Oryctolagus cuniculus: one gene and its partners. The protein of the gene in region 1 purifies or fractionates together with the protein of each later gene. This does not show direct contact. Links are inferred from orthologs where the notes say so. Each region holds a gene or a part of one and is shown on either strand. Other genes may lie near its edges. The genes, in order: NOP56, FBL, BRIX1, GNL3, EBNA1BP2 and SNU13.

Region 1 (4,723 bases):
GCATCCAATGTCGCTGACCTGGAAACTTGGTCCCTTTGCTGGGCCCTGGGAATCACTCAGACACCAGGACTGGCCATCACCCCCATAGCAGAGGCCTGCACAGGTCAGGGAGCCCTGGTCAGCCATCACTGTGATCCCCAAACAAGCAGTGGGCACCAGAAGTGGCACCTGAGTACAGGCAGGTGCCCTCACTGGTACCTGAACAGGGCCTTTTCAGCCCCAAGGATCTGCACTGTGGATGCTGGATACTTGGCCAGGTTGGTGAGACTGCCAGCATGAGCAATGAGACGGGCACCTACCTGGAGAAAGGTTCAAGGAACAAGTCAGAGACCAGCTGGACTTGCTCCCCGTCTCCCCCTGGTGGCCAGCAGCGAGCAGTGCAGGATGACGCATCCCCTCAGCACGACCCCCACCCCTCCTGTTCCCTGTGACATACCGCTTCCCCAATGAGAGCCGACAGACTGGGGGCCACCTGGCTCATCTTGGAGCGCAGGTAAGTGTGTAGGCTCTGGCGGTACTCAGACAATGACACCACACGGCTGGAGAAGCTCTCGATGTTGATCAAGTCGATGGCAGAGATGTCCATGCCTAGAAACACCCCAGTGTGAGTGCAGGTGCCAGCTGCTCGGAGCCCTCCCCCCGTACCAGCTGTGAGGCTCTGTGCTGACCCATGGAGGACCGGGAGGCATCCAGAATGGCCTTGGCCTTGGCGCCATCCATCGTTAGCTCCTCCAGCTTTTCCAGCTTGTCCTCGTTCAGCTCCTTTCGGTTGCCGATGAACTGGGCGAGGCGGCAGTACGTGGCGTTGTCATTGATGATCTTCACCAGCTCCGGAAAGTGATAGCCGTACCACTCCCTGCAGAGACACAGTCCCACCTGGTTCTGGCTCAGCTGCCGCAAGGCCACAAACGCACCCGCCTCAGCCCTCGCCACCCAACTCGGCCTGGAGCAAACAGGGACAAGCCCAATGCCGGTCCCCTCAACGCCTTGTCCCCCCACTCACAATACAGCCCAGGCACGATGAGGCCAGAGCTGAGGTGTACATGGGGAGGGCCTGCTCTGCCTCCTCCTTCTATACAGTCAGTGTAAGAACACAGCCTGTGGTAAGCACCAGGAGGCCCAGCCCACACTCGCCCGACCGGCGTTGCAGAGGCTCGCGGTGAGGGGCGGCCTCTGGCTGTTACCTGACGCGCATGGAGAAAGTGTTGATGTCTTTGTCCAGCTGGTCCAGGAGGCTGATGGACTGGATGATCATGTTGTCCACCCGGTTCACGTTAAACTTCACTTTGGCCCGAGAGTAGCTGTGGCCCAGGCCCAGCTGGGCTTTACACGCAGACACATCGGTCAGCCCCTTCACCAGATTATGGAAATGCAGACGGACTCCTGGGGCAGCCGACACGGGAGCGTGAGCGAGCCAGCTCCGGCACCCCGGGCCCCTCCCAGGAGCGACCTCGTGGCTCTAGCCAAGCCTCACCGCGCAGGATCTCGGCTATCACGCCTCCAGTCTGGCAGCTGTAGCCCAGCTCCTCTTGTATGGCGGCACCAATCTTGGGGTCCCCAACCCCTAAGAGCACTTTCTTCTTCTTGGACGGCAGGTGAGTCTCCAGCAGCAGGCGGAGGTCCTCGTGCACGACACCTCAGGACGAAGAGCAGGGCGCCCACTAAGTGGCTGAGGGCCGAGGGATCCCGCCTCCCCGGGCGTGTGTGGCCCAGCCCTCCCTGCAGGCATTGCTCAGAGACATGGAGACATCAGTGACAGGACTCAGGGGATTGACAGATTATTTTGAGTCATCATTGCAAAGCCTGGCTGAACCACGAGAAACAGGACACAGGCCAACAGCCCAAGTGGGACACACACCTCAACTGCAGGGGACACCCAGTGGATCCCAGACCCCAGATATGTGTGTTTCCCAGACATACCTGGGATAAAGCCCAATTTATGAATAAGGCAATTTAAGACATTAGCTAACGAAGAAACCGTATAGTAACTACAAAAGTCACCAACTGAAATCTCATTAAACCAAGTCTGGACTGGCGTGGGAGGTCCTGCTGTACAGCGCTGTGCAGTGGGCTAAGCCTCCGCCTGCAGCGCCGGCATCCCCTATGGACGCCGGTTCGAGTCCCGGCTGCTCTTCTTTCAATCCAGCTCCCTGTAGATGGCCCAAGTCCTTGGGCCCCATTTGGAGTGAACCAGCGGATGGAAGATCTTTCTTTCGGTCTCTCCCTGTCTATATCTCTACCTCTCAAATAGTATCTCCTATCCCAATTTGCCTTCTGGGACCAACACCCTTGTAATTATCAAAAGTGCCCCTTCCGACAGATTAAAAGACACAGCAGAAAATTAATAAGACAACTAATCGTGTCTAGGCAAACTTGGGCACACGTGCAGGTTAAACCAGCCACCAGAAAAAACACCACTGATCGCTAACTACAATGCTCAAAGAAACCAAAGCCTACATCGTGGGTTGCATGCGTGAAATGCACCTTAATCACAACAAGCCAGCTGACCCCGGGCGGCGACGCCGACTCACCTTCCGACACCGCGTTGGCATTTTCCAAGGCGACCTGGGACGAGGAGAAGGGCGAGAAGGCCACGAGGCGCACGATGTTGTGAAACTTGCCCAGGTTCAGCACGCTCTCCTCCACCTGCCGAGACAATGAATGGCGCGGCCGGCGGCCGACGTCAGCCCCCGGGCGCCAGGAAGACGCACCGGGGCCGGGCTCTGCTCTGGGACGCTCACTTCCAATGGCTCCTACCGCGACCCCGGCCACGCGACGGGCTGAGGACCCCCGCCCCGCAGTCTTCCGGGCCGGCCCCTCCAGCCCGCGCGGCCGGCCACGTGGGAGCGCGCGGTGCATGCCGGGGGCGCGCGACCGAGGGGCTGCAGCGCAGCCGGGCGAGCCCCCCGCGCCCACAGAGACCACCCACCTGCGGCAGCAGCAGGCTGATTTCCTCCACTTCCTTCAGCGCCAGCAGCGCGTAGCCGACCGCGTGCTCGAACAGCACGTGCAGGAGCACCTGGAACGGCAGCCGGGGTGCGGCCGTCAGCTCAGCCCCTGCGTTCTCCCGGCCACACTCCCAGGACACACCGAGGCCCGGGCTCCGGCATTCGAATTCGGATTCGAATCCAGGCCCAGACCACGGCCTCCGCACAAGCCCGCGACCCGCAACCACTCCTCACCATGGCGCCTGCTCCTTGCCCGGCTCGCAATGCGGCTCTCTGGCTCTGGCGCGCAGAACCAGGCTCCAGAGGACACGCCCCCCGTCGGGTCGGCCAATCAGAGGCCGAGGACGGCACTATCTCAGAGCCTTCGCAGGGGGTCCTCTGGGAGTGGTATCGCCCAGAGCGCGAGTCGCGGTGGAGCGGCGCGCGGACGAACCGGCCTTTTCCGGTCTCTGCGGCTGCGCGGGCGGGCGCGGTTGCCCGGGACACGCGGGATCGGTAAGGCCCTGCAGGCCGCAGGCCTGCGTGGAGGGGCGCTTTTTCGGATAATGGTCCGATGGCCCGTATTTTCGTAATTTGTGAAGCGGGGGCAGGAGGATCCCCGTGGGCGCAGAGCCCGTCCCACGCCGCGTGGCTGCCCTCGGCCTCCAGGCCCGCCCGCGCGCCCACGCTCCCGGCGCCCACTCTCGGACAGCGCCCCGAGCTCTGTGGGCTGCGCGCTGTCTCCTCTCCGGGACGCGGGACGCCCTGGCGCCGTCAGCGCCGCGAACGTGGCTCCTCGCAGCCGCATTGCCGAGTTATATGTAACTTAGTTCTAGGGCCGGATGAGTGTCGGTCGGTAGTGTAGGAACGGAGCGACCCGACCCCGAGTCCTCGTGGAGCGGTCTCGCTGGCCCGGGGCCGGCCGGGTGTTGCTCGCGGCCCTGAGGCCCGGGAGCCGCTTCTGGGGGTCTCTGGGCGACGACTCCCCATGCTGCAGCCGCGCTAAGTAATGAACTTAACAAGCCAGGCCTGGCCACCCCGAGGGAGGACGAGCACGCCCTTCCACCTTGGGCTGTTGAGCCGCAACTAGCAGGCGCGTTCACAGCTTTAGTGGACCTCAGCCGTCTGACAAATTCCCCCTTTTGGGGTTCCATGTGGTCAGGACCTCTTAATCATAATAATCTCTGTTGTGCCCCGATCACTAGATCCCCTAGAGAGTCTATCACACCGAAATGCAGATCACCAGAGACCCCCCCCCAGGGAGTGGATCACACCGAAATGCAAAAGCAAGGTTTATTGAATACAAGCCGCGACTGGGACCCCAACCAACCCACCTGCGCAGCCGAGTTAGGAGGGAGGCCCCGGTCTTCGTTTGGGAGAGTTAAAGGAAACACCCACAGGCTTCCATCAGCGGGGGCTTACAGCACGGAGTTGCTCTTAATTGAACGGGGGTCTCCGGTTGGCTTGGGTTCAGGGAGCTACTTTATTTAGCAGTTTCTTCTGAGCTGTCCATTCCAGCTTTGATGTCTGGAATGCCTGAATGCTTTTACAAAGACTCGGGTCTGCTACGGAAACAGAGGCTGCTTTTTTTTATTATTATTATTTTAAAATGGAGTCCCTGGCTCTTCAGTCTCAACATTGCCTGCTGATGTGGTTCAGTTTGCCGCTCATACCGACTGAGGATCGGGAGTCTACCTCAGGGCATTTCACGTTTTAAAACAGAATTGCAAAATCATCTGTTACAGACTTCCCTACGCTGAATGCGCCAAATTAAACGGATGCTTTAATATTAACAT
Region 2 (3,899 bases), on another chromosome or scaffold:
CCAAAACGCAAGGCGTCGGTGTGAACACTTGGCAGCGACGTGGCTTTCAGCCAAGTTCCCAACCTCTCGGCTTCACTTTGCCCACTGGAGAGTGAGGTCATGAAGGCCACATGACTCTGCTCCCAGAAGATGCTCACAGCAGTGCCCGGGCCCTGGCGTGTGCCCCTGGACCTCTGCGCCTTGGCTCTCTGCTTTTAAGCTGCTGTTGGGAGCCTGGGCTCCCAGACCAAACAAATCAGGATTAGGTAGCCCTGCTGTTTGGTGGAATGACCCTTGGCCAGTAGCCTCAAGTCTACCCGTTTCAATGTCTTCATCCGCAAAATAGACATAGTAACAATTGCCAGTAAGTGGTAGAGTTTTTTAGCTTTTTTTTTTTTTTTTTTTTAAGGATTTATTTATATATTTGAAAAAGTTACAGAGACAGGTCTTCCATCTGCTGATCACTCCCCAAGTGGTTCCAATAGCCAGAGCTGAGCCAGGCCAAAGCCTGGAGCTTCATCCCGGTCTCCCACGAGGGTTTTGGGCAGGGGCCCAGACACTTGTCCCATCTTCCCCTGCTTTTTCCAGGCCATTAGCAGGGAGCTGGGTCGAAAGTGGAGCAGCCAGAACATGAACCAGTGCCCATATGGGATGGCGGCTTCACCCGCTACGCCATAGCGCCGGCCCCAGTGGTCGTGTTTTGATTTGAGGGTTGGAAGAGGTGCCGTGTGTCGTGTCAGGGCCCAGAGCAGGCTGTCCGTGCTGAGAGCTGGCGTCACTGCTGACGGTCACATGACTTCCTCTAGGATGGGCTGGTCTACGCAGTTGAGTTCTCCCACCGCTCTGGCCGTGACCTCATTAACTTGGCCAAGAAGAGGACCAACATTATCCCCGTGATAGAAGACGCCCGGCACCCGCACAAATACCGCATGCTCATCGGTGAGCCGTCTGGACGCCGGCCCAGCTGGGTGGGACAGGCCTCCAGGTTTCCGGGTTGGGCCGGCAGAGCCTGGCTCCGGATGGAATTCGAGTCGATGCGCAGGCCTCATGAGTCTACAGGAGTGAGAGGGGCAGCGGGAGGCAGGCGAGGCTGCAGAGGCGGCGACCTGGCCACGGGGCCCCCTCCTCTGCTCTAATCTCCCCTTCCTCAGGGCCCCTGTAGCCTCCCCAAACCATGGCCCTTTCCCCACTGCCCTGGCTTGCCAGGAAAGCCTCCTTCAGGGTCCTTGTCGGCACCTGGTGAGATCCTCGCCCAGCCAGCACACACTGGGCAGAGCCTGGCCTGGGGGGCCTCTTGTGAATGGGACAGCTGTTGTTTTAAAAAAATTCTAAAGCAGGTGTAACACGGGCTCACAGGGGCGGCGCCCTCTAAAACCACCCTGGAGGTAACTGATCGGAACGAGCAGCCCCTGCCCTTTCCAGTTCTGAAGCTCAGTTTTCATTAGGTCACATCATCGTCTATTTTGTTTCTTTTTTAAAATCACACCTTACAGACTGCCTTTCCCTCTACTCCAAGCTTTTCCCTGGGCACGCTTCCCACTGCCCTGTGCTGCAGGCGCGCTTGCCCATGAGTGATCACCCTCTCTCGTCTTGATGACACGTCCATCAACCCCTGCCCCCGGGTCTGACTGGTCTCTGTGTCCCCCACGCCCGGGTCTGAGTCGTCTGCGTCCCCCACGTCTGGCCCAGGGCTGGCCACAGGGAGGGGGCAGCCATGGTTCTGAGAGTGAAGGAATGATGCGTGACTGGATTCTGAGCCCATCTCGGGGTGCTGTGGAGGGAGGGGGTCAGTGTGGGGGGAGGGAGACCTTCCAGGGCCTGCTGATGGTGCGCAGGCCCCCCGGGAGGAGCTGAGCTCTTGGGTGGGTCCAGCTTTGACTGGCAGCCCTTTCCCCGTAGCAATGGTGGACGTGATCTTTGCTGATGTGGCGCAGCCAGACCAGACCCGGATTGTGGCTCTCAATGCCCACACCTTCCTGCGGAATGGAGGACACTTTGTGATTTCCATTAAGGTACCAGGCTTGGGGGAGTCGAAGGTGGGCTGGCAGCGTCCCAGGGAGGTGTTTTCTCTGCCAAGCAGCCAGTCAAAACAAGGGGACTGGGGTGGTGTTTAGCCTAGTGGTTAGATGCCCATGTGCACCATATCAGAGAACCTGGGTTTGAGCCCCTGCTGTGATCGCTCAAATGAGTGGACTTCTGCCGCCCAGGTGGAGGATCTGGACTGAGTCCCAGGCTTCAGCCTCGGTTCCTGGCCACTCCCAGCATTTGGGGAGGGAACCAGCAAATAGCACCTCTCTGGTTGCATAGGCGATCTCTCTTTGTCTCTGCCTCTCAAATTAGTTGATTAAAAACCTTTTAAAGGCAGGCGGGCCTTGGCCAGTCTATCCCAGCTCCTCACAAGCCTCCCCTGCCCCCGGTCAGATAGCACAGCATAGAATACCTGTAGAACCCAAAGCGTGGCGTCCAGAGCCAAGGCGGCGTGGTGGCCAAGGGCACGGCCGCTGGGTCTGTTTTCCAGCGTGCTGTGCTGTGCAACTTCAAGCAAGCTGCTTAACCTGTGTGCCTCTGTCTTGTGAAATACACGTTTTGGCCCTATCTCAGGGTTGATGTAAGGATCAACTCAGTCTACATGGAGGGCTTAGAAGAGATACTGCACAGACGCTAGGTGCATTTTTCAGAACCATTTACTTTGCAATTAGAACGCGCGTAGCCGCCACCAGCTTCGCCACTTGCTGGCATTTTGTTGCCTGTGCCCGGGAAACTAGCTTTAGGTGACAGGAGGTTGCTAGGACTTCCTGCCGGGCCTGGGCCTGAGGCTGCTTAATGAACCAGGCTTCCCCTAGCGGCGCTGGCGGTGCTAGGCAAAGGCAAACCACGCGGGCTCTGGCTCCTTCCTCCCCGCAGGCCAACTGCATCGACTCCACCGCCTCGGCCGAGGCCGTGTTCGCCTCAGAGGTGAAGAAAATGCAGCAGGAGAACATGAAGCCCCAGGAGCAGCTCACGCTGGAGCCGTACGAGAGGGACCACGCTGTGGTCGTGGGCGTGTACAGGTGAGCCGGCGCCCGGCGGTCCTGGGGCCCCCGGACCCCCGAGTGGTGGCCAGCTGTAACCCCGCCCTTGTCCCCATCTGCTCACAGGCCGCCGCCCAAGGTGAAGAGCTAAAGTTCAGTGCTGTGTGGATGTCGAGAGATGCGTGTTGTGCCGTGGCTCCTGTGTTTTTCTATTAAAATGACTTCTCCGTGGTCCCTGTCTGCCGCTGATTGCGCCGTGACCGCGGTGGACAGCAGGGTGCATGCGCCCTTGGTCAACTTTGTGTGGCGGGCAGGGGAGGGAGGCGGGAGGGTCAGTCCGCCCCACAGCGCATGCTCTGTTCCGCGCTGCCCCCCCCCCCCCCCCCCCCCCCCCCGGGCAGAACGGGGATTCGGCTACTCGGGCGGGATTGGTAGTTCACTGCGCATGCTTGCGGGTGAGCACAGGAAGGGCGCATGCGCGGAGTATTACCCTGGGTCACGTGAGGGGGCGGACTGGGGTAGGGGCGGAGCCTGGGGCGGGTTGGGGGGGCGGTTTGTTGTGGTCGCCATTTTGCTGGTTGCATTACTGGGTAATCAGGGCCCTGGCTGGCCGTGTCTGCCGGATACCCTCAGCCAGTGGGCAGATCTGAGCTCGGGCCGCCCGAGCACTTTGAGTCCCCTTGCCCGCGCCCTCAGGTAACAACACGGGGACAGCCGGGGCAGCACGCGCTGCTGGGGGGAAAGACGGGATGGGATCCGCCCTGCCCGCGTAGCTTCGAGACTTAGCACGAGGCCGAGGGAGGAGAAGAGAGGAGGGGAGCGAGGTTCCGGCAGGTGCGGGCTGCGCTTGCCTATTCATAGTCCGATTCCTGGAAAAGGCCGGGCCAGGGGAGCCGTCTTGGGAGGAAG
Region 3 (4,647 bases), on another chromosome or scaffold:
CAGGTCCTTGCACTCCTGCAGCTACGTGGGAGACCGGGAGTAAGCTCCTGGCTCCTGGCTTCGGATCGGCGCAGCTCCGGCCGTTGTGGCCATCTGGGGAGTGAACCAGTGGATGGAAGACACCCCCCCCCCCCCCCCCCGCCACCTCTCCTCTCTCTGTGTAACTCTGACTTTCAAATAAATAAATCTTAAAAAAAAAAATGAGCAGAATCCAAAATCTTTTCTGAACCATACAAATATTTCCGTGTAAGACTCTATTACAGCCAAAAGAAGGAAAAGCATTTTTCTAAAAGGGAAATAGCTACTAAAGAGCATATAGTCTGGAAACAAACATTTGGGGTTCTTATCTCAACTGTTGGGACTGCTGGCAAATCGATTAACTGTTTGCACATACGTAAAACGGGAGCAACAGAAGGTGTGGGGCTACCGTGAGGATCAGATGAGCCGAACACCTAGAGGACTGGCTAGCCTAGGGTTTAGCTTTCTAAACGTCAATCATTATCATTATTCACCATTATCTCTGTTAAGATGGGGAAAGAATGTTTCCAGGAGAGAAGACACCTTAAACGCCATTCTGTTTTCAGACTTAACTTGTCTACTGAGACCTTTCTCGGGCTGGAAGGCGCCCGTTGCGTACCTGGATGAAAGCGTTGGCTTGCACACACTTCGCATTTTCCACTGTGACTCGGATTCCATTCTTAGTAGCGAAGCAGGTGGCGTGCTCGCGGAAGTGAATGGCTTTCAGGATCGTGGAGAGGTTCCTGACGTTGTCCAGGCTGGCCACTAGGCTGTACTGGACACTCTCGTCCTGGATCCGCTGGGTGAGCAGCGGCATCCTGCCTGGCACCTGGGGCCCACACCCGCTCCCGAGGATCTCAGAGCACCTGCCGGGGGTCGGAGATAACGTGGAAGGGGCCAGGCGAGGCGCCACTGTAACTGTGACCCTGCGGGGGATTCTTGTCTTCCCAGTGCGGACGGTAACACGGGGAAAGTAGCTTAGAACGAAAACACGCAACCCACAAAGGAGGTGCACTAGGGGGCCAGTCACGCCACTTATCCCCGGATCCGCTCGGGCCACCTCGCGCCACCAACCTGGCTTGCAACCCGACAGGCAACCGGGGTGGGGGCGCTCGGGTCCTATGAGTTTCTCCCAGAGTCCGAGACAACCAGTTCAGCTGCCCGCGGGACAGCACCCGCTTCCTAGGGCCGGGATCGCGAGCGCCGGAAATCCTACCCTTGTAGAGGGGGCCAGACACCCGAGAGCCCGGCCCAGCCTGGACACCGAGCAGGAGAGCTGCAGCTCCCGGAATACCACGGAGCGGGCGGCTCAGCTCCCGCCACTATCTTCAGACCAGCTCTCCGCTTCGGCCACCGTCACCACAGAGCTGGAGGAGGCCTAGAGAGTCGCACGGCGGCACCACCGAGATCGGAAGTAAGCGCCAGAGAGTCGCGGAAGAGCCATAGAGGAGAGCGAGCGGTATCATCGAGACCGGAAGTAAGCGCCAGAGAGCCACGGAGGGGCCATAGAGGAGCGCGTGCGGTACCATAGAGACCGGAAGTGGAGCGAGCGGTGGAGTGGGGGGAACCGGAAGAAAAGCCAGTAGTGGTGTCGAGGCAAGATGGCGGCCACCAAGAGGAAGCGGCGTGGAGGGTTGCCGGTGCAGGCGAAGAAGCCGAAAAAAGACGACAGAGATGCCGGGCCGCAGGCAAAGAGTGGCGTCACGACAGAAGAGGTGGAGGAAGAAAACAGAGACCGTATCCCCGGCCCCGTGTGCAAGGTAGAAGCGGTTACCGCTACGCCGGCGGCGGCGGCTCCACGCGCCTTCCCCGGGACTCCCTAAATCTCTCTTCCTTTCGGAGTAGCTGGGGTGTTGGGGGAACCCGTTCCCAGCAGTGCTCTTGGACGGTTTGTGCATGATGTGTGCACCTAACTCGTACGCGCCGCCGTCCTCGTTTAGGCGGTGGGCTTTGGAACCCTCCTTACCCGGCGTAGGGGAGAACTCAGCTCAGGTGTTTCCATAGGCTTTTCCTTGTTCTTTTCTACCTCTTTTGGAGGGTGTGTTTTTGCGAAGTTGTTTCGGTCTGTACTGCCGTGGTCGGCCAGTGTCATTTGGGAACCCTGAAGCTCGCCTTGGGAACCTTTGGAAAGTTGTTCGTGGGATGAGGCCTTTGACGCCTTGATCTGGGTCTTGAACTGAAGGGATAGTGAAAAATACGTTAGATCGTATAGCTGTCTCACCAAACACGCTTCTAAGGAGCCGTGTGCGACTGTCCAGTTAGGCTTCCTCTGGCTTGAGGGATTGCAAGGCCGACCAGCGTGGGACCTCTTCCCCCGGAGATGCTGGCGGTCAGGAGAAAACCAAGAATGTGCAGGAGCTGATGGTGGTGGTCCAGAAGATGAGCACAGGTTTCGGAGTTAGCCTTCAGCCGAGAGAATTCCCTAAGCAAAGACGGACCCTGGGGACGTTAACTTCTGTGTCCCCCGTGCTTAGTGGTAGCCTAGCCGGTAGTCGGTGTCGGTGACGTTTGGTGCTGGTTTCTCATCTGCAGATTAAGAGGAGCGAGATACTTTTGGGGAGGAGTAAACTGGGCCTCTAGATCGTCAGTAAATGGGAATGCTCTCCCTCCTCCTTTAAGGAGCTAGGAAGAAGTGCGGTCATATCTAAGTCACGCCGTGGTGCCGTCGGTGGCAATGCGAGAGAGTGAGATCGTTTTTACCCTAAGATGAGAAGGAATCATGGAGAACTTAGCCTTTGAGCTGGGTTTCAAAGGGAAGGGGAGAATTTTGGTCCGGAATGAGAGGGAGTAGTCCGAGGGAAAGCTGAAAGAGTTGATTAAAGGTGTTGAAGTGGGTAAGAGCCTGAAAATCTGTTTTTCTTGAAAGAAGGGTAGAGAGAGATTGGCCTAAGCCTGGAGTTGTTGTGGAGCAGCGGTTCTGGAAAGATGAAAACGTGGTTTAGCCCATTTTAGAGTCCAGTATTAAAGCTGCCTTATTTTTGGACTTGTTTAGAAACCATGGGAGGTAGGGTGAGTGAAGCTGTGCTTAATAAAGCTTTAGCTGCTGCGGTTGGCTGTGTCAGTTACAGGAGCTCCTGTCTAGGAAGAGGGGCCATTGAAGAAATTTGCAGTTGATTCAAAGTTATAAGGACCTAAGTAAGGTCAGTGTGGACAAGAAAGGAATAAGAATTACTGCAAAGAGAAGTTGGTAGCATTTATTTGTGCTGATGAAATGGAAAATAAGCACCAGTGGAAGATTCAGCAACCTCAGTCTGAAGTAAACACTGCCTCTGAACTCAGCACGTACAGGCTTTTATTCCTTGTTATTCCCTAAACAATACAGTATAACAACTGTTTCTGAAGCATTTACATTTCATTGGGGATTATAACTAATCTAAAGGTGATTTAAAGTCTACAGGAAGTGCACATACTCTTGCCATTTTACATCAGAAATTGGAGGAAGAGGGGACTGGAACTAATCCTCTGAGGGTGCTGGGGGTGACTGTAGATTTTTCTGGCTGGAAAGAGTTCCTTACTCTCCTGTAGAATTGATGATTGAAGCTGTCTAGATAGAAGCGCTCTGCGATGGAGAGAACAGAAATATTAAAAAGAGAGTAAGAAAGCCTTTAGGGTTGGGAGAAGGAAGTCAAATAGCTTCTTAAACAATACTAAGAGACAAGATAGGTTTGAGATTTTAAAAGTTCACTCGCTCTTTTTTTTAGGGCAAGTGGAAAAACAAGGAACGGATCCTTATCTTTTCTTCCAGAGGAATAAATTTCAGGACAAGACATTTAATGCAGGACTTGAGAATGCTGATGCCTCATTCTAAAGCAGGTAGCTTTGATATTATATGCTTTCAAGACTTGTGTCTATAACACTGCTTCTGTGTGTTTAACTTCCATGTATATTGACTTACACAGTGTTGTCAGATAAAGAACCACAGTACCTCTGAAGATCCAGGGGTGCCTTCATAAAAATGCTGTTGGAGGTCATGAGATAGTGGGATTATTTGACCTTTTAAAGGATTCAAGCCTGCTATGTGTTGCCTTTTTTTTTCTTTTTTCTATGTTTAGTTTCATCTACTTGAAACACAAAGCAACAGAAAAAGAGATCTTCCATCTGCTGGTTTGCACTCCAAATGCCCACGATGTCTAGATTGGGCCAGGCCAAAGCCAGAAGCCCAGAGTTCATCTGGGTCTCTGTGGGCATCAGGGGCCCAAGCACCCAAGCCATCATCTGTTGCTTCTCAGGGTACATTAGAAGAAAGCCGGGTTGGACATGGTGAAACTGGAACTCTAACTGGCAGCCCCACCCATATGGGATGCTGGTGTCCCAGGCAGTGGCTTAGCCTGATGTACCACAATGCCCGCCTGAACCTTTTTTAAAATCTTTTTTTATTAAAAAAAAAAAAAAAATCATAATCCTGGAATAGGATTTAAAACACCTTTAGGTTGGGCTTAATCTGTTTTATGCCAAGTTATTTTTTTTTTTTTTTACCAGTTTTCTGTAAGTAAATGAAGAATATCTAGTTTTGAATTTTGGATAGAGGCAGTACCATTGTTTAATTGATTTTGTGCCTGTGTTAAGAGGTGCTTTTGGTTTTAATTGGCTGAACTTTGGTTGTAATTTAACTTAGTGTTTTTATCAGTG
Region 4 (4,884 bases), on another chromosome or scaffold:
TTGCATAATTTAAAGGCCTGAAAGCACCCTTCAGCAATTTTATTCCACGAAGAGATTCTGGAGTTCAATTCCAGGCTTTAAAAGGGCCTTGACTGTAGTCACAAGTCAACAAGTCTGACTGCCAATGAGAATTTACCATGGATAGTAAATAATACTTTATAATGTACAACTGGGAGAATATTTACTCTATATAGCCACATGGTATATTGTGACAGTCTATAAACTTTTAGTACTTTCCTATTTTTTAATGGTATTTAGTTCTGTAATACATACAAGCTTTAGAAAAAATACCAGGAAACCTAAGACTCAAATCAAAACTTAAAAAAAAAAAAAAATAGCACCCATAATCCTACTTCCCAAAGAAAAACTACTCAAATTTTGTGCTCAGAGCTTTTGGCATTCATCTATGCTTTAATAGCCTAATTTCTTTTAAACAAAAGTGTTAACAAACTCTATTATTATTATTATTATTATTATTATTATTATTATTTCATGGCCTCTGTTTTAAGTTAGGGAAGATTCTCCCAAGCTAGCGTTCTTCCTCATGATGTTTGATGTTTTGAGAGCAGTCTATCACAAAGATATAAAATTTATTTATCCAGGGAATTTTGGCAGAATATTAATATTTGAAGTGCTTTGTACACTCCCAAAGTCAAAGAAAATGGTCAAACTCCTTCCATTTCTCCAGACACATATTTGTTTCAGTTTTAATCTCAAACACCTCTTCAAGAGGTACTTTCCAACCTTCCACTCTGGATCTTAAAATCCAGACGGGCAATTCGCTAACAAAGAACAAAAGCAAAGATTTACTATTCTTTTATACTGGCATTGAGTACAGCCTGCTTCCCAGATTCGGGGGAAAGCGCAGTAACGAATGGAAAAACTCCAAGACCGAAAACCATTTGGAGTCCCAGTGTGGAGGAAAGGAACACGTTTTACTCCAGCATATGCCACTCCACCGCGTATTTGCCATTGGTTTTCCAGGATTCTTCCCTGTCTTTGCCGCTCTTTGTTCCTCTGCACATCGACTCTTATTCCTTCTAATAACCAAACTATGCTTCCCTTTCAGAACGTAAAAAACTTTGATGGAAAAATATTGTTTAAAAAACAACAACAGGCTGTTTTCAAACCGCGATTCTTTGTAGTGCAGCGAATGAGAAGCTGAAACACTTGATGTTTAGCCCCTACTCTCAAATACAAGTCGCAGTCACAAAAATACTCGGTCTGAACCGTCGCCCAGAAAGATAAAACGCGTCTCCTAAGCAGAGTTTGCTGTTGAGCCCTCAACAAACAACAACAAAAACAGGCCCTAAGCGGCGGCGCAAACGGAGGACCTGGCCGACCTGTCACTGGTAGGGGACTAAGGGAAACGTTGACAGCTTTGAAGCTGCCGGGCGACGAGCGGGAAAGCGGCGCGCGGAGTTTCCGGGCCGCAACGCGCCTTTGTCCCGGCCGGCAGGTGCGGCGAGGCTGCGGGGCCCGTCCCGAGGCCCGCCGCCGCGCCCCGCCCCGCCCGCGCGCCCGGCCCGACCGGCGCGTCCCCACGGCCGGGGCGGGGCCTCCGCCGCGGCTCCCGCCCGCCCGCCCGGGCCCACACAAAGGCCCGGCGGCCGGCCGAAGGGGAGCGGCCCCGCCCGCCCCGGGCCCGGTCTTACCCAGCCGCTCCGCCGTCTGCAGCCCCGGCCGCGGTCGCCGACCGCCACGCCACGCCCCGTGGCCGCCACGGCTGCTGCTATTGCTCCTCCGGCCGCGGCCGCTGCCGTCGCTCCGGCACCCGCCGCCCTCACCGCCCTCACCCCTCCCAGAGCCGCCGCAAAACCAGCCTTGCTGCCGCCAAGCGAGCCTGGCTCCGCGCGACACTGCGTGCGCGCGCACGCGGAGGAGAGAAGGCGCGCTTTACGACGGTAACGTGACTGCGTGACGCTGGTTCGTGGCCTCAGTTCACACGTGGCGCTCGCCGAGGAAGGTTGCTGCTGCTTCGTTCTCTGCCGCCGCGGTTTCCGCAGCCAGCATGAAGCGGCCCAGTGAGTGGGATCGGCAAACGGGCTTGCAGGCGCCTCTTTTTCTGGTGGTTCCTGAACGCACCAGGGCGTTGGTCTCTGGGAGGTTGGGGCCTGCTGGTGGGCCGTTGCCCTGCTCCCGGTATAACCGAGCGTTGGGCGGCCTCGTGTCCATCCTGTTAAGCCCGGGCCGAGGGTGGAGAAGATCACGCCATATTGTCAGGAGACCGCGACCGAGCCAGGTGGCAGGCCGCGTGCGGGCGGGCTCGCTGAGCCGGGGAGCCGCTTCCCAAACCCACTGTTGCTCTCCTGCTTTATGATCCGTGGAGCTTACACGAAGTGGCAGTCGTTTTGGGACTCGTATACTGCTCTATGTGATTTCCGTCTAACACGGAAACAGCAGGGATTTGGGGCTCCGTTCCGGATCTGGGATTTGAGAGTAGCATCTGTGTTTTTATTCAGCGCCCCACATGATTCTTAACGTTAGATTTGACATAATACACAAGGGTGTGACTCTAGTTCACTCACGGAAAACTAAACCAGGCCGTGTGTTATGTGTTTCTTTGTAGAGTTAAAGAAAGCAAGTAAACGTATGACCTGTCACAAGCGGTATAAAATCCAGAAAAAGGTAAGTGTTGCGCTTGGGAGAGCTGTACTGAAAAAGGCTGTTAAGCCGACTAATGCCCTGGCTCTCCCTCATCGAGAAGTCTGGAGTAAAGATGGAGTCTTCGGGAGGTGGAACAGGATGGACTGACCAAGCACAGCACAAGCTCTCAGTGATCAGGAGTGCAGCTTTGGGAGGGCGCAGTGTTTGGTGTACGGAAGCCTGGGAACTTCCACGTAGTCATCTCTGCAAGGAGAGCCTCCTAGTGTCGTTCTGTTGCTGTTTTTTTAAGTATATATTTTGCTGTCTGTGACTCCCATTAAAGATCCGTTTTTCTTGGGGCATTTACAGGCATGACTAGGTTGTATGCATATTGGTCTCTTACTTGAATTGTGTTAAAGTAGAAAGGTATTTTTTGTAAACTGATTAAATGTCTTGTCATCATAGATTCGAGAACACCACCGAAAATTGAGAAAAGAAGCTAAAAAACAAGGTCGCAAGAAGCCAAGGAAAGACCCAGGAGTTCCAAACAGTGCTCCCTTCAAGGAGGCCGTTCTGCGGGAAGCTGAACTAAGGAAACAGCGGGTAAGCTGCGGTAGCCCAAACTTGGAGTAACTGCGGAGGGGTGGGTGCATTTTTTTTCAGAGGGAGCTGTTGCCAGCAGTCACTGGCTTAACCTGTCTGATGTGTTGGACACAGCTGGAAGAACTAAAACAGCAGCAGAAACTTGACAGGCAGAAGGAGCAGGAGAAGAAAAGAAAACTTGGAAGCAACCCTGGTGCTAGGCCGTCTGACGGGGAACCTGGCAAGGAGGTGAGAGTGATAGATGAGTTCTGATGCAGAACTAAAAGCATGTACAGGGGCAGGGGCTGGTGAGCCTCGAGGAAGAGGAGTGATTCCGATTCTGTCTTACACAATATCACCTGCAGCGCCTCAGTCGGCTGTGCGGATACAGGTACAGATTACAGCTGCTGCACTGCTGGTTTTTATGTCTTTTCCCCCTTCTCTGTTTTCTAGGCACTTGGACAATGCGCAGCCAAAAACAAAGCCAAGTCCCGCAAGCAGAATCCAAAGAAGTTACATTGTCAGGAGCTTAAAAAGGTATCTGAGTCGTGCTTCGGCAGCACATATACTAAAAAAGGTATCTGAGTCTAGGTCAGTGCCTAAAAGTGGTGAAGAGGTTAAAAGACAAAGCAGCAGTCAAGTTCACTACCTAAGGCCTTGTTATGTTTAGCTGACAGCAGTGTGTTGACAGTGGTTTTAAGTTTGAGGTAAGCAGTGTGAAAATGCCGGTCTCTAAAGTACTCTGTTGAAGCTTAAGTGATGGAAATGGAGAAAGGTGGTGGTGTCTTTTTGGTGTAGTTGCTCCCCGGGCTCTCCTCCCTACACCCATTTCCCCAGGGTCATTCCCCTCCAGGTGACTCTGCCTCTCAGTAACTCCTGGTGAGGTCAAAAGGGTTGGCCAGACGACAGGATTCCCTACAGAAATGAGAGCAGCAAACAGTAGAGGGTATTTCTGCTTGTGAAATCCACGCTGCTGAGCAAGACTATTGGTTTTACTTCTGGGTGAGAAATGATGAGCATGTCAGTATTCTTCATACCAAAGTGAAGACATGAGATCCAACTCTGAGCTCACCATATCGCCCAGTGGATGGTACGGGTTCCCAAGGCAAGGGCTGCAGTTGGGGCTGTTCTGCCCGGACAGGTGATCGCTGCCTCGGACGTCGTGCTGGAGGTGCTGGACGCCAGGGATCCTCTCGGGTGCAGGTGTCCTCAGGTCGAAGAGGCCATTGTCCAGAGCCAACAGAAGAGGCTGGTGCTCGTGTTAAATAAGTCAGGTGAGCACAGGGGCTGTCCTTCCTCTCCCATTGCATTACTGAGGTATGAGGAAAATATCTGAACAGTCTGATTGTTGTTGAAGACTGGTAAGATCCAACTCTGACCTCAGCAAAACCAGAGCAAGTGTCCTGTGGCTGGGCAGTGGGCTTTCCGTGGACTTTGGCTGTTCGTTACTACCACCTTGTTTAGTTTAAGAATATCCGCTTCTGTGCTCTGCTTATCGTGCAGTGTAGCTGTCATACAGAAAGGGATGACAGTGCCAAATTCCCCCACCTGCACAACTATTAGTTTTCAACTGAGATAATATGGAACGTATTCGACAAACCATTTGAATGAAACAGAATTACGTACAGCAGAACAGAGATGGTGTGAAACAAAGTGGGAGAGAAAAATGGCTGCTGGCTGGGGTCAATGCTGGAAACGCTGCTCTAGGGTTGGTAG
Region 5 (4,648 bases), on another chromosome or scaffold:
ATATCAAGATGCACAAATCCCAGGGCTGGCATTGTGCCACCTGCAGCAGAGGACAGCCCGAGTGTCTGGGCTCCGGCACCCACGTGGGAGGCCTGCAAGAAACTCCTGGTTCCTGGTTTCTGCTTGGCCCAGCTCTGGCCAATGCCACCATTTGAGGAGTGAACTTGCAGATGAAGATCTCTCTCTCTCTGTCTCTAACTCTCTCTGTGTCTCTTCCTCTCTCTTGTAACTCTGTCTTTCAAATAAATAACTCTTAAAAAAAAAGATACACAAATCTCAAAAGCATAGCACTGAATGAAAGTAGCAAGTCACAGAATATGATTTCATTTATATAAAACTGGAAAATGGCAAAAAAAATATATATCTTGTATAAGGTTACATATATTTGGTAAAACTATATTGAAAAAATGGAATTATTACAAAATCCAAGATGGGATGTGCCTGTGTGGGGGGGCGGGTAGAGAAGGAATTGGGGAGAACTGGAACTGGCAATGTTCTGCTTCCCATCCTGAGTTCATACATCTCCGTTTTACTGTCATTGTTTATATATATTATATATATATATAAATATATATATGTAGCTGTTCTTTTTTGTGTATGTATGACACAGTACCAAGTGCTGAAGATAACAGAGTAGGGAAAAATGATTAAAGAAATCATGACTACCACCCGCAGGGACAATGCAATCAAAATCAAATGCTGTAACATTACACAAACAGGATGAGATTTCCAGTATTTTAAACACACATGGATTCAAAGGGTGCTGTATAGAAGGTGGTATACTCTGGGAAACTGGGCTAGAGAGCTCAGAGAGTGCTCTGGTCATGGTAAAAATGATACTGAAAATGCACGAACAGATTCATCAAAGTAATTCTTTTAATGAAATTACAGTGAAAAAAGTACTTTTAAAGGAACACTATTTTATGTGCGATTTTAACCGGGAATGCAAGCCAACATTCATGCCCGCCACATTCATAAAACAGTATGCACATTCAAGTTGGCCAAAAAAGGTCCTTCCGGGCATCGTGCTGGGGCTCTCGGACGACACGTGGCACTTACTTTTAACGCGTGGGTCTGGATGGAAAGGGTTTTTACCTGGAATGAATTTTTGCCATTTCTGATCCACATTGTACTTCACACAGTGATTTCCTGAAGGAAACATAACGGTCTGCTCGTCGAAGAAGAAGATATTGTTGGCTACGTGAGCTCGAAGTCCAAACACATGCAGCGACTGGGCTACCACGGAGGACATGGTCCCGGGTCAGAGCGCTGCGGGGACCGAGCGCACAGGTGAGACGGGGAACGCCCCGCCCCGGACCCGCCCCCGCCCGCCCCGGACCCTGCTCTCCCCTCGCGCTTCCCCGCCACCCCGCTCCTCTTCCCGTTTCCTTCGCTCCCTCGCGTTTTCCAACTTCTCCCCACGATCCAGGTACCCCCTCCCACCTGGCGCTTCTCTCTGGGTCACCAGACCACGTGCCTCTCCAGAAGTCTTACCCCCGACTGATCGCACGCAACTCAGGCCCTTCCGAACGCGGAGCCGTTCCTATAGCAACGACGTACCGGAAGTATGAGCCAGCGACCGGAACAGGAAGTGCCGATCAAAGAAAAAAAAAAAAAAAAAAAAAAAAAAAAAAAAAAAAAAAGCCCGAGCCGAGAGTTCGAGAGTTGTGGGCGCTCCGGCCCTTCGAGCCCACGTGGAGCTGCGGTGTGAGAGGAGCGGGTGACGCCCTCAGCGGCAGCGGCAGGGACGCGCGTGGCCCTCGGCCAGCCGCGGGGGCCTCGAACATCCCGCTTCTTCGGCCCGCCTTAGGCGTGCGTGCTGCGGGATGGACACCCCCCCGCTCTCGGGGTCGGACTCGGATTCTGACGAGTCCCTGGTCACGGACCGGGAGGTAAGTGTCGGCCGAGCTCGCGGGGCTGGGAGCCGGAGCCGGCGCCTTGCCCGGCTGGTGCTGACCGCGGCTGTGTCCTGCAGTTGCAGGATGCGTTTTCCCAGGGGCTCCTGAAGCCAGGCCTCAATGTCGTGCTGGAGGGGCCGAAGAAGGCCGTCAACAACGTGGTGAGTCCAGAGCCGGCCCGGGGGCACTGGCGCTGTGCGTGGGGCCGAGTCGCGCCTGCCGGGGTGTCGGGGCTCAGCGCCCTGTCCGCCGGCCTGGGGAGGGACGACTTCAGGCTTCCCTCCTGACGACTTCAGTGGCTGAATTTCCTAGAATGGCCTGAAACAGTGTTTGGCCGAATTCAAGCGGGACCTGGAGTGGGTGGAGAGGCTCGACGTGACCCTGGGTCCGGTGCCGGAAGCCCCCGGACCGCAGCCAGCGCCTCCGAGCAAGGACCAAGGAGCCCTGAATCCGGAAGACGACTTCCAGCGGGAGATGAGTTTGTATGTTTGTTTTCAAGTGGGGGAGGGGCGGGGGGCCTTGTGCTGGAGCCTCAGGGAGAGGGGAAGGGAGTCAGACGCAGAGGCAGGGAGAGGGAATGGCAGGCCCCACCGCCCCTGTCTCACTTTGTCTTCCATCTCAGCTACCGCCAGGCCCAGGCTGCAGTGCTCGCCGTGTTACCCCGCCTCCACCAGCTCAAAGTCCCTACCAAGAGGCCCACCGACTACTTTGCCGAAATGGCCAAGTCTGATCAGCAGATGCAAAAGGTAGACAGGGAAGTTTGTCTCTGGAAAGCCAAGGCTTTATCTGTTCTACAGATTGTTTACTTCCAGTCATGCCAGTCACCACCAATTAGATAAATGCAAGACTGGCATTTGGGAAAAGGACTGTAAGAAGTGTGGTCCCCAAGGTAAAGAGGGCCTTTTGCATTTCCTGGAATGGCCATGACGTGCTGTGTATAGAAGACAGCACATCTCTTGTCTTGCCATTACCAGTGAGGAGTGCTGTCACAGATGATGACTTTTCTCTGGGCCTGTTTTCTCTTCTGTGAAACTTAAGTTTGGTAGAACTTGGTTCTCACTTAACTTTGGGAGGGAGAGAATTGCTAACATCTAATCCAAGGTAAACTGAAATAGTTCTTTGGGCTTCATGCTGGATTTTAGGAGCTCTTGTAAGCCAGACACATCTGTACATTCATATGGAATGTGTGCGGTTGATGGAAGAGGCCAGGCACCTTCTTTGTCTGCTGGAGACTTTATCCTGTAGGTGGTGTTAGAGAAGGGCACGGAGGCTGCTCGCTGTTTACCCTCAGTCTGCAGACGGTAGAGAATGCTGGTGTTCTTTCTTGGGCTGCAAGTAGACTGTGTGCTGGAGTAAATGGCATTGACGAGAAGGTAACTTCCAGGCTGGAGTTCCACCGCTGACACTCTTTGGAACCTTGCACACTAAGTGCTTGTCCAGAAAGCGCTCCGTTGGAATAGGTGATTTACATGTTCTGCAGTTGGCAGAACTGGGAACGTGTTTCCTGTTGCTCGGCTTCCTTAGTGGTCACCCCACTTTCACACACATAAACTGACAACGTTTTTTGTTTTAGATTCGACTGAAGCTGCAGACTAAACAGGCTGCCATGGAGAAGTCTGAGAAGGCCAAGCAGCTGCGAGCGCTTCGGAAATACGGGAAGAAGGTGAGAGATACATGGGGACAGGGCGAGGCGGGGTGTTTGTCAGGTCCGATGGCTGTGGTCTGATCGAGTTCCATGCCCTGCATGCTTGATCATGGGCTTCCTGTGTCATGGTGGCGTGTGTGTGCTCGTATTTGTGAGCACAGTCTTACCTCAGCCCCAGGGCAGGCCCAGGACTCTGTGACAGCACATGAACCTCTCCTTCACCCTCTGGGCTAAAGCTTCCACATCTATGGAGGAAAGAGTTGGGGGTCAGATCAGTGGTGTCCAACCTGACCTCACAGCAAAACGCCCCGGGGGAATTTTGTTTCTGGGCTTCAGACTCTGGGAATTTGTGTGTATGTTTCTCTCATTCCCCCAAAAACTTACCAGGTGATGCTGATCTGTATCTTTGTGATTGATAGGCCTAGACGATTGTCAAGTTCTTGAAGGAATAATACTGTTACCCAGTCTGAGAGACAAAAAATAGCATTTGTGTGAATGACATTCTAATGTCATCCTGAGTTCTAACATAAAACCAGATCAAGCACACCATCAGAGCGTGCTTGGTTTTCCTTTTTTATTTTATGGGCTCCTAAAGAACACAGGAGTTAAGTGAGGATTGCAGGAAGAAATGAGCATGAGGAAGATCAGCATGAATCTTGGAACTTTGTTGGTGTTTTGGACATGAACACTGTGATGAGGCGTGGACGTTTCCACAATTGGGGTCACTTCCCTGATAGTTTTCAGCACAGAGTAGACTAGAATCTTGTCCCCTGTAAAAGGTTTGTTGTTTCTCTGATCTGGAGGTGAAAGGCTGAGATCATTGCAAAGATCCCAGCAGTCAGTTTAACACATTGTAATTTGTCAAAGCAAAGAAAATCTTTTTTAAAATTTCTTTATCTGGAATTCAGAGTTACAGAGAGAGAGAGAGAGAGAGAGAGAGAGAGAGAAAGATTTCCCATCTGCTGGTTCACTCCCCAAATGGCCACAGAGGCTGGGGCTGGGCCAGGCTGAACCCAGGAGCCTGGAGCTCCACCTGAGTTTTGAGCCATCTTCTGCAGCTTTTCCTAGGCTATTAGCCAGGAGCTGGATCGAAAGTGGAGCAGCT
Region 6 (4,656 bases), about 89 Mb from region 1:
ACTCTGTGACCACCGTGGGCAAGCAGCTTCCCTTCTCTAGACCTGGCTCCCTGTGTGAAACTAAGAAATGCCGTTGCATGACCCTTAGGGTTCTGCCAGCTCTCACTTGGAGACTTCCAATGGAATTAGCCCCGGATGGTCTAGTTTGGGTTGGATCCAAGTGGTCTCCTGATGTGCACGGCATCATGTTGGAGAGGCATGAGGAAGGGCCATGAGAATCGAGGAGGCTGTCTTGGGGGTGGTGAGGCATGAGTTCAGCCATAAATAATGGAGATTTGGGGAAGAATTGAGAAAAGAGTGAGGTTCTGGCTATTAGAAAGTAGGTGTCCTGGCCAGTGCTGTGGCTCACTTGGCTAATCCTCCGCCTGCGGCGCCGGCACCCCGGGTTCTAGTCCAGTTGGGGTGCCAGGTTCTAGTCCCGGTTGCTCCTCTTCCAGTCCAGCTCTCTGCTGTGGCCCGGGAGTGCAGTGGAGGATGGCCCAAGTGCTTGGGCCCTGCACCTGCATGGGAGACCAGGAGGAGGCACCTGGCTCCTGGCTTCAGATTGGCGCAGTGCACCAGCCACAGCGCACCGGCCGTAGCGGCCATTTGGGGACTGAACCAACAGAAAAGGAAGACCTTTCTCTCTGTCTCTCTCTCTCTGTCTAACTCTGTCAAAAAAGAAAAAGAAAAAAAAAAAAAGTAGGTGTCCTAAGATATTTCACACTCAACCTGACAGAAACTCAACTCCTACTCCCTTACCCCAAATCTGCTCTTCCTCCTGATTCCTCATTTAATGGATTCTAATTCAGCCTCCATCAGGGACGCTGACAAGAGATGTGATGAGGAAGAACATCTGAAATTGCCTGTGGGGCCTACGCTGTGGCACAGCAGGTTAACACCCTGGCCTGAAGCGCCAGCATCCCGTATGGGCACGGGTTCAAGACCCAGCTGCTCCACTTCCCCTCCCGCTCTCTGCTGTGGCCTGGGACAGCAGTGGAAGATGGCCTAATCCCTGGGCCCCTGCACCCCCGTGGGAGACCCAGAGAAGCTCCTGGCTCCTGGCTTCGGATCAGCACAGCTCCAGCTGTTGTGGCCACCTGCGGAGTGAACCAGCGAGTGGAAGGCCTCTCCCTCTCCTCTCTCTGTGTAACTCGGACTTTCAAATAAATAAATAAAAAATAAAAATAAATTGCCTGTAATTTATCTCTCCTCACCAGGGTAGGGTCAGAAAGACAAGCGCAAGAATGTGCCCGAAAGTGAGCTGGCGCTGGAGTAGTAAAACCTCTGTCGCCCTTTCTTTTCGATGATTAACTCACTTTGTGCCCAAAATTTATAAAACGCTAATAAAAACAACAAGCATAGGGTGCCTCACAAGCGGGAGGCCGCCTCCGCGACGGCGCCCCCTCGTGGCCGAGGTCCGCTCGCCCGTGTGACGCCACTTCCGCTTCCGCCCGCTCGTGTGACGCCACTTCCGCTTCCTGCCGCGCGTGGGCGCCACTTCCGGCTTATTTTCTGGGCAGTTTCCGGCTTCTTCTTTGACGTCGGCGGTTGTTCGTCGCGAGTGGCGAGCCCGCGGAGCCGCAGCCATGGTGAGTGCGTGCGCCGGGCCTGCGGGCCGGGAGCTGGGCACCCCGGGGTTTCGGCTCGCTCGCCGTCCTGCCGGGAGGTCGGGAAGTGCGCGGGCTCGGCCGCCGGGCTCCGGCTCGGGCTCGGCCGCTCGGCCCGGGGTTGGAGCCCGGGCAGCCGCAGGGTCCCGGCAGCCCCGGCCCCACGTTAGAACTCGGGAAGCTCAGGGCCGCCCGCTGTGTCGGCGGTGTTTGCAGCTGTCCGTTCCCCTGGCCGGAGGCCTCGGTGAGCCCGGAAGGGGCAGAGCCTGGGAAGGAGCAGCCCACGTGGGCGATGGTAGAAAGTTGTTTTTTTTTTTTTTTTTAAATGGCTCCCTTCTTTTTTCCTTTCTCTTTTTCCTTATCTTTTACGATCTCTAGGGCATGGCTTAGCCGCCTGGACTCTGGATCACCGTCTTCTACCCAGCCCGCCCCTTTCCCAGTGCTGGGGGCTCCGGAGACGGAGTTCTCCCTTGGGTCCGCGCCCAGAGCGGGCCGCGGGTCACGTGTGCCGGGGATTAACGGGGCCCCTGGCGTCTGGGGGCGGTGGGGAGTGTGGAGTGACCTGGGGCGCGGGAGAGGTTCAGGCTGCCAACCTCGAGCCACCGCGTGCAGCTCCTCTGAGCCCCTGGCTGTCGGCAGCTTTTCTTACTAATCGCTTAGGGAGAGTCCGGGTCGTGGCGGTGGTGTGGCGGGCTCGGGTCGGCCCTTGGTGAGGAAGTGGAGTCCATAGTGGGGTTCAGTCATTCCACGGGAGCTCGGATCCCTGGGGGGCTGCCTCCCCCTCCCGCCCGTCGTTTTGAAGCTCGTGTGTCGGAGCCAGGGCTCATCTGAGGCAGGTTTGGGATCGAGTGATCTCGGGTTGAACTCCGCAGCTTACCTAACTGTACAGTGGGAGGACCGTGCCTGTGGACGCGAGGGTCCGATCGGGACTGAGCGCACTGTGAACAGGTAGCCCCGAAGCCGGGCAGGGAGAGCGAGCACCGGCCGCGCGGGTCCTGGGAACTGCGCTGCTGGCCGCCTGCTGTGCCAGTCCCTGCGCAGACTAGATGGTTCAGGTCAGTTGCTCCACGTCGCCCAGGTGGAAGCAGATCCCTCTACAGTAATAGTAAATAGAAAGTGGTCACTTGTTACCAGGGGTTTCCCGCGTCAGCGTCACCACAAATCCCCCGCCTTGGATGGCTGCAGAGTTGCCATGGCTACAGGACCACCAGGCTGTGGGCGTTTTCCAGCTCCATGACGGTTTTATGGGACCACACAGGTGTATGAGGTTGATCGTTGACGAGAAACTCAAATGTTATGGGGCGTGGCTGTGTTTGTTGAATCAAAACGTGGTCGGTTTTGGCTGTCTGGTGTAGGGATTTAAATTGGCTGGCTCATTTACCCCTTACACGTTGGCAAGTTTGCATTCGTGTTTGTAAGCTGGGCAACTTGGTTTTAGAGTCCCATCGTTTCTGTTGACTGATGGTAGAAGGTGAAGGTTTTTGTCGTGGGTTCTGAAGTCGTCCTCTTCGTGCATTTGATGTCTATGGAGAGTTGAGAACCCTGGTTTGCAGAGTGGAAGTACTCAGCGAGGAGTGACTGGATCTGAAGTGCTGACTCCCTCATTGGGAAGAGGGTGGTGTGCTGAGCATCTGATAAGTTACGGGCACGTTGACTTCTCAGGTAACCACAGAAGGAATAGAAAATGAGAGGATGGAGTGGCAGGCGCTATCCTGACGCCTGAGATGCCCGCATCCCGCGTTGGAGCGCCTGGGTTCATTGCCCACCTCTTGGCGGTGTTTCCAGCCTCCTGTTAATGCAGACGCTGGGAGGCAGCAGTCCACGTGGAAGACCTGCATTGAGCTCTCATTTAGGGAGTGAGCCAGCAAATGGGAGCACTCACACTCTCTGCCTCTGAAATAAATGAAAATTTTCCCAAAGATTTATTTACTTAATTGAAAGAGTTACAGAAAGGGATTGATCTTCATCTGCTGGTTCATTCCCCAAATGGCCACGATGGCCAAGGTTGGACCAGGCCATAGCCAAGAGCCAGAAACTGTTCAGGTCTCCCACGGGTGACATGGGCCCAAGCACGAGGCTATCTTTTGCTGCTTTCCCAAGCATATCAACAGGGAGCTGGATCTGAAGTGGAGCAGCTAGGACTCAAACCAGTGCCCATATAGTATGGGTGACTCCATTTTTGTTTTGTTTAATTAATCTTTTTGTTGTTAAGTCATGAGAAGTTTGCTTTTTTTTAATTAATTTATTTGAAGAGCAGAGTGACAGAGATCTTTCATCCACTGGCTCACTTTTCAAATGGCCACAACAGCCAGATCTCAAGCACCTGGGAATTCAGACTTTTCAGGGCTGGCGCTGTGGTATAGCAGGTAAAGCCACCACCTGCAATGCTAGAATCCCATATGGGCACTGGTTCAAATCCCAGCTGTTCCACTTCTGATCTAGCTCCCTGCTAATGGCCTGGGAAAAGCAGTGGAAAATGGCCCAAGCGCTTGGGCTCCTGCACCTACCTGGGAAACCCAGAGGAAACTCCTGGCTTCAGCCTGGCCCAGCTCCATCCATGGTGGCCATCTGGGGAGTGAACTAGCAAATAGATTTCTGTCTCTCTCTGTAGCTCTGCCTTTCAGATTAAATAAATCAATCTTAAGAAAAATCAGAATGTGGGACTGGGGCTATGGCACAGTGGGTTAAAGCTCGCATCCTGTATGGGCGCTGGTTTGAGTTCTCGCTGCTCCACTTCAGATCCAGCTCTGCTCTGGCCTGGGAAAGCAGTAGAAGACACCCAACTGCTTCGGCCCCTGCACCTGTGTGGGAGACCCGGAAACTGGCTTCAGATCAGCCCCCAGCTCTAGCTATCGTGGCCATTTGGAAATTGAACCAGCAGATGGAAGACCTCTGTCTGTCTCTGGCTCTAGCTCTCTCTCTGTAACTCTTTGAAATAAATGAAATCTTTTTTTAAAAAATTGTTTTAAAAAGAAGAAGCATATTATGAAAAAACCGTATGTATGGATCTCAGAAATTTTTGCTAAGCTTATCTTTTTAATTCTACTTTTCATAAACTTTTTTTTTT

Evidence for each region.
Region 2: the proteins of NOP56 (region 1) and FBL purify together in Homo sapiens (affinity purification with mass spectrometry; 6 studies listed by BioGRID and IntAct, counting the BioPlex papers as one, with this or other methods). This does not show direct contact. The link is inferred for Oryctolagus cuniculus from reciprocal best matches to the Homo sapiens genes NOP56 and FBL.
Region 3: the proteins of NOP56 (region 1) and BRIX1 purify together in Homo sapiens (affinity purification with mass spectrometry; 3 studies listed by BioGRID and IntAct, with this or other methods). This does not show direct contact. The link is inferred for Oryctolagus cuniculus from reciprocal best matches to the Homo sapiens genes NOP56 and BRIX1.
Region 4: the proteins of NOP56 (region 1) and GNL3 purify together in Homo sapiens (affinity purification with mass spectrometry; 4 studies listed by BioGRID and IntAct, with this or other methods). This does not show direct contact. The link is inferred for Oryctolagus cuniculus from reciprocal best matches to the Homo sapiens genes NOP56 and GNL3.
Region 5: the proteins of NOP56 (region 1) and EBNA1BP2 purify together in Homo sapiens (affinity purification with mass spectrometry; 4 studies listed by BioGRID and IntAct, with this or other methods). This does not show direct contact. The link is inferred for Oryctolagus cuniculus from reciprocal best matches to the Homo sapiens genes NOP56 and EBNA1BP2.
Region 6: the proteins of NOP56 (region 1) and SNU13 fractionate together in Homo sapiens (co-fractionation; 3 studies listed by BioGRID, with this or other methods). This does not show direct contact. The link is inferred for Oryctolagus cuniculus from reciprocal best matches to the Homo sapiens genes NOP56 and SNU13.

The regions. Positions count from the first base shown.
Region 1 is NC_091442.1:28,154,614-28,159,336, reverse strand, and holds the start of NOP56 (nucleolar protein 56), read right to left. Parts: upstream 3,292-4,723; 5' UTR 3,186-3,291; coding exon 3,183-3,185; intron 3,020-3,182; coding exon 2,930-3,019; intron 2,647-2,929; coding exon 2,532-2,646; intron 1,801-2,531; exon of another isoform or gene 1,729-1,800; intron 1,637-1,728; coding exon 1,475-1,636; intron 1,384-1,474; coding exon 1,185-1,383; intron 1,121-1,184; exon of another isoform or gene 986-1,120; intron 857-985; coding exon 669-856; intron 589-668; coding exon 437-588; intron 300-436; coding exon 199-299; intron 137-198; exon of another isoform or gene 51-136; intron 1-50. UniProt on the Homo sapiens protein: Involved in the early to middle stages of 60S ribosomal subunit biogenesis. Required for the biogenesis of box C/D snoRNAs such U3, U8 and U14 snoRNAs. Part of the small subunit (SSU) processome, first precursor of the small eukaryotic ribosomal subunit.
Region 2 is NC_091449.1:14,150,736-14,154,634, forward strand, and holds the end of FBL (rRNA 2'-O-methyltransferase fibrillarin), read left to right. Parts: intron 1-785; coding exon 786-918; intron 919-1,878; coding exon 1,879-1,991; intron 1,992-2,883; coding exon 2,884-3,029; intron 3,030-3,116; coding exon 3,117-3,141; 3' UTR 3,142-3,222; downstream 3,223-3,899.
Region 3 is NC_091445.1:60,576,863-60,581,509, forward strand, and holds the start of BRIX1 (ribosome biogenesis protein BRX1 homolog), read left to right. Parts: upstream 1-1,583; 5' UTR 1,584-1,619; coding exon 1,620-1,778; intron 1,779-3,719; coding exon 3,720-3,831; intron 3,832-4,647. Other genes in the region: cell cycle checkpoint protein RAD1, read right to left, coding at 638-835. UniProt on the Homo sapiens protein: Required for biogenesis of the 60S ribosomal subunit.
Region 4 is NC_091441.1:97,041,524-97,046,407, reverse strand, and holds the start of GNL3 (guanine nucleotide-binding protein-like 3), read left to right. Parts: upstream 1-1,884; 5' UTR 1,885-2,011; coding exon 2,012-2,024; intron 2,025-2,569; coding exon 2,570-2,628; intron 2,629-3,051; coding exon 3,052-3,189; intron 3,190-3,303; coding exon 3,304-3,417; intron 3,418-3,621; coding exon 3,622-3,705; intron 3,706-4,309; coding exon 4,310-4,442; intron 4,443-4,482; exon of another isoform or gene 4,483-4,559; intron 4,560-4,884. UniProt on the Homo sapiens protein: May be required to maintain the proliferative capacity of stem cells. Stabilizes MDM2 by preventing its ubiquitination, and hence proteasomal degradation.
Region 5 is NC_091438.1:129,849,170-129,853,817, forward strand, and holds the start of EBNA1BP2 (probable rRNA-processing protein EBP2), read left to right. Parts: upstream 1-1,574; 5' UTR 1,575-1,826; coding exon 1,827-1,892; intron 1,893-1,975; coding exon 1,976-2,059; intron 2,060-2,210; coding exon 2,211-2,380; intron 2,381-2,520; coding exon 2,521-2,644; intron 2,645-2,657; exon of another isoform or gene 2,658-3,471; coding exon 3,472-3,561; exon of another isoform or gene 3,562-3,788; intron 3,789-4,648. Other genes in the region: CFAP57 (cilia- and flagella-associated protein 57), read right to left, coding at 1,096-1,252. UniProt on the Homo sapiens protein: Required for the processing of the 27S pre-rRNA.
Region 6 is NC_091442.1:117,647,021-117,651,676, reverse strand, and holds the start of SNU13 (NHP2-like protein 1), read left to right. Parts: upstream 1-1,568; coding exon 1,569-1,571; exon of another isoform or gene 1,572-1,693; intron 1,694-1,752; exon of another isoform or gene 1,753-1,881; coding exon of another isoform or gene 1,882-1,884; intron 1,885-4,656.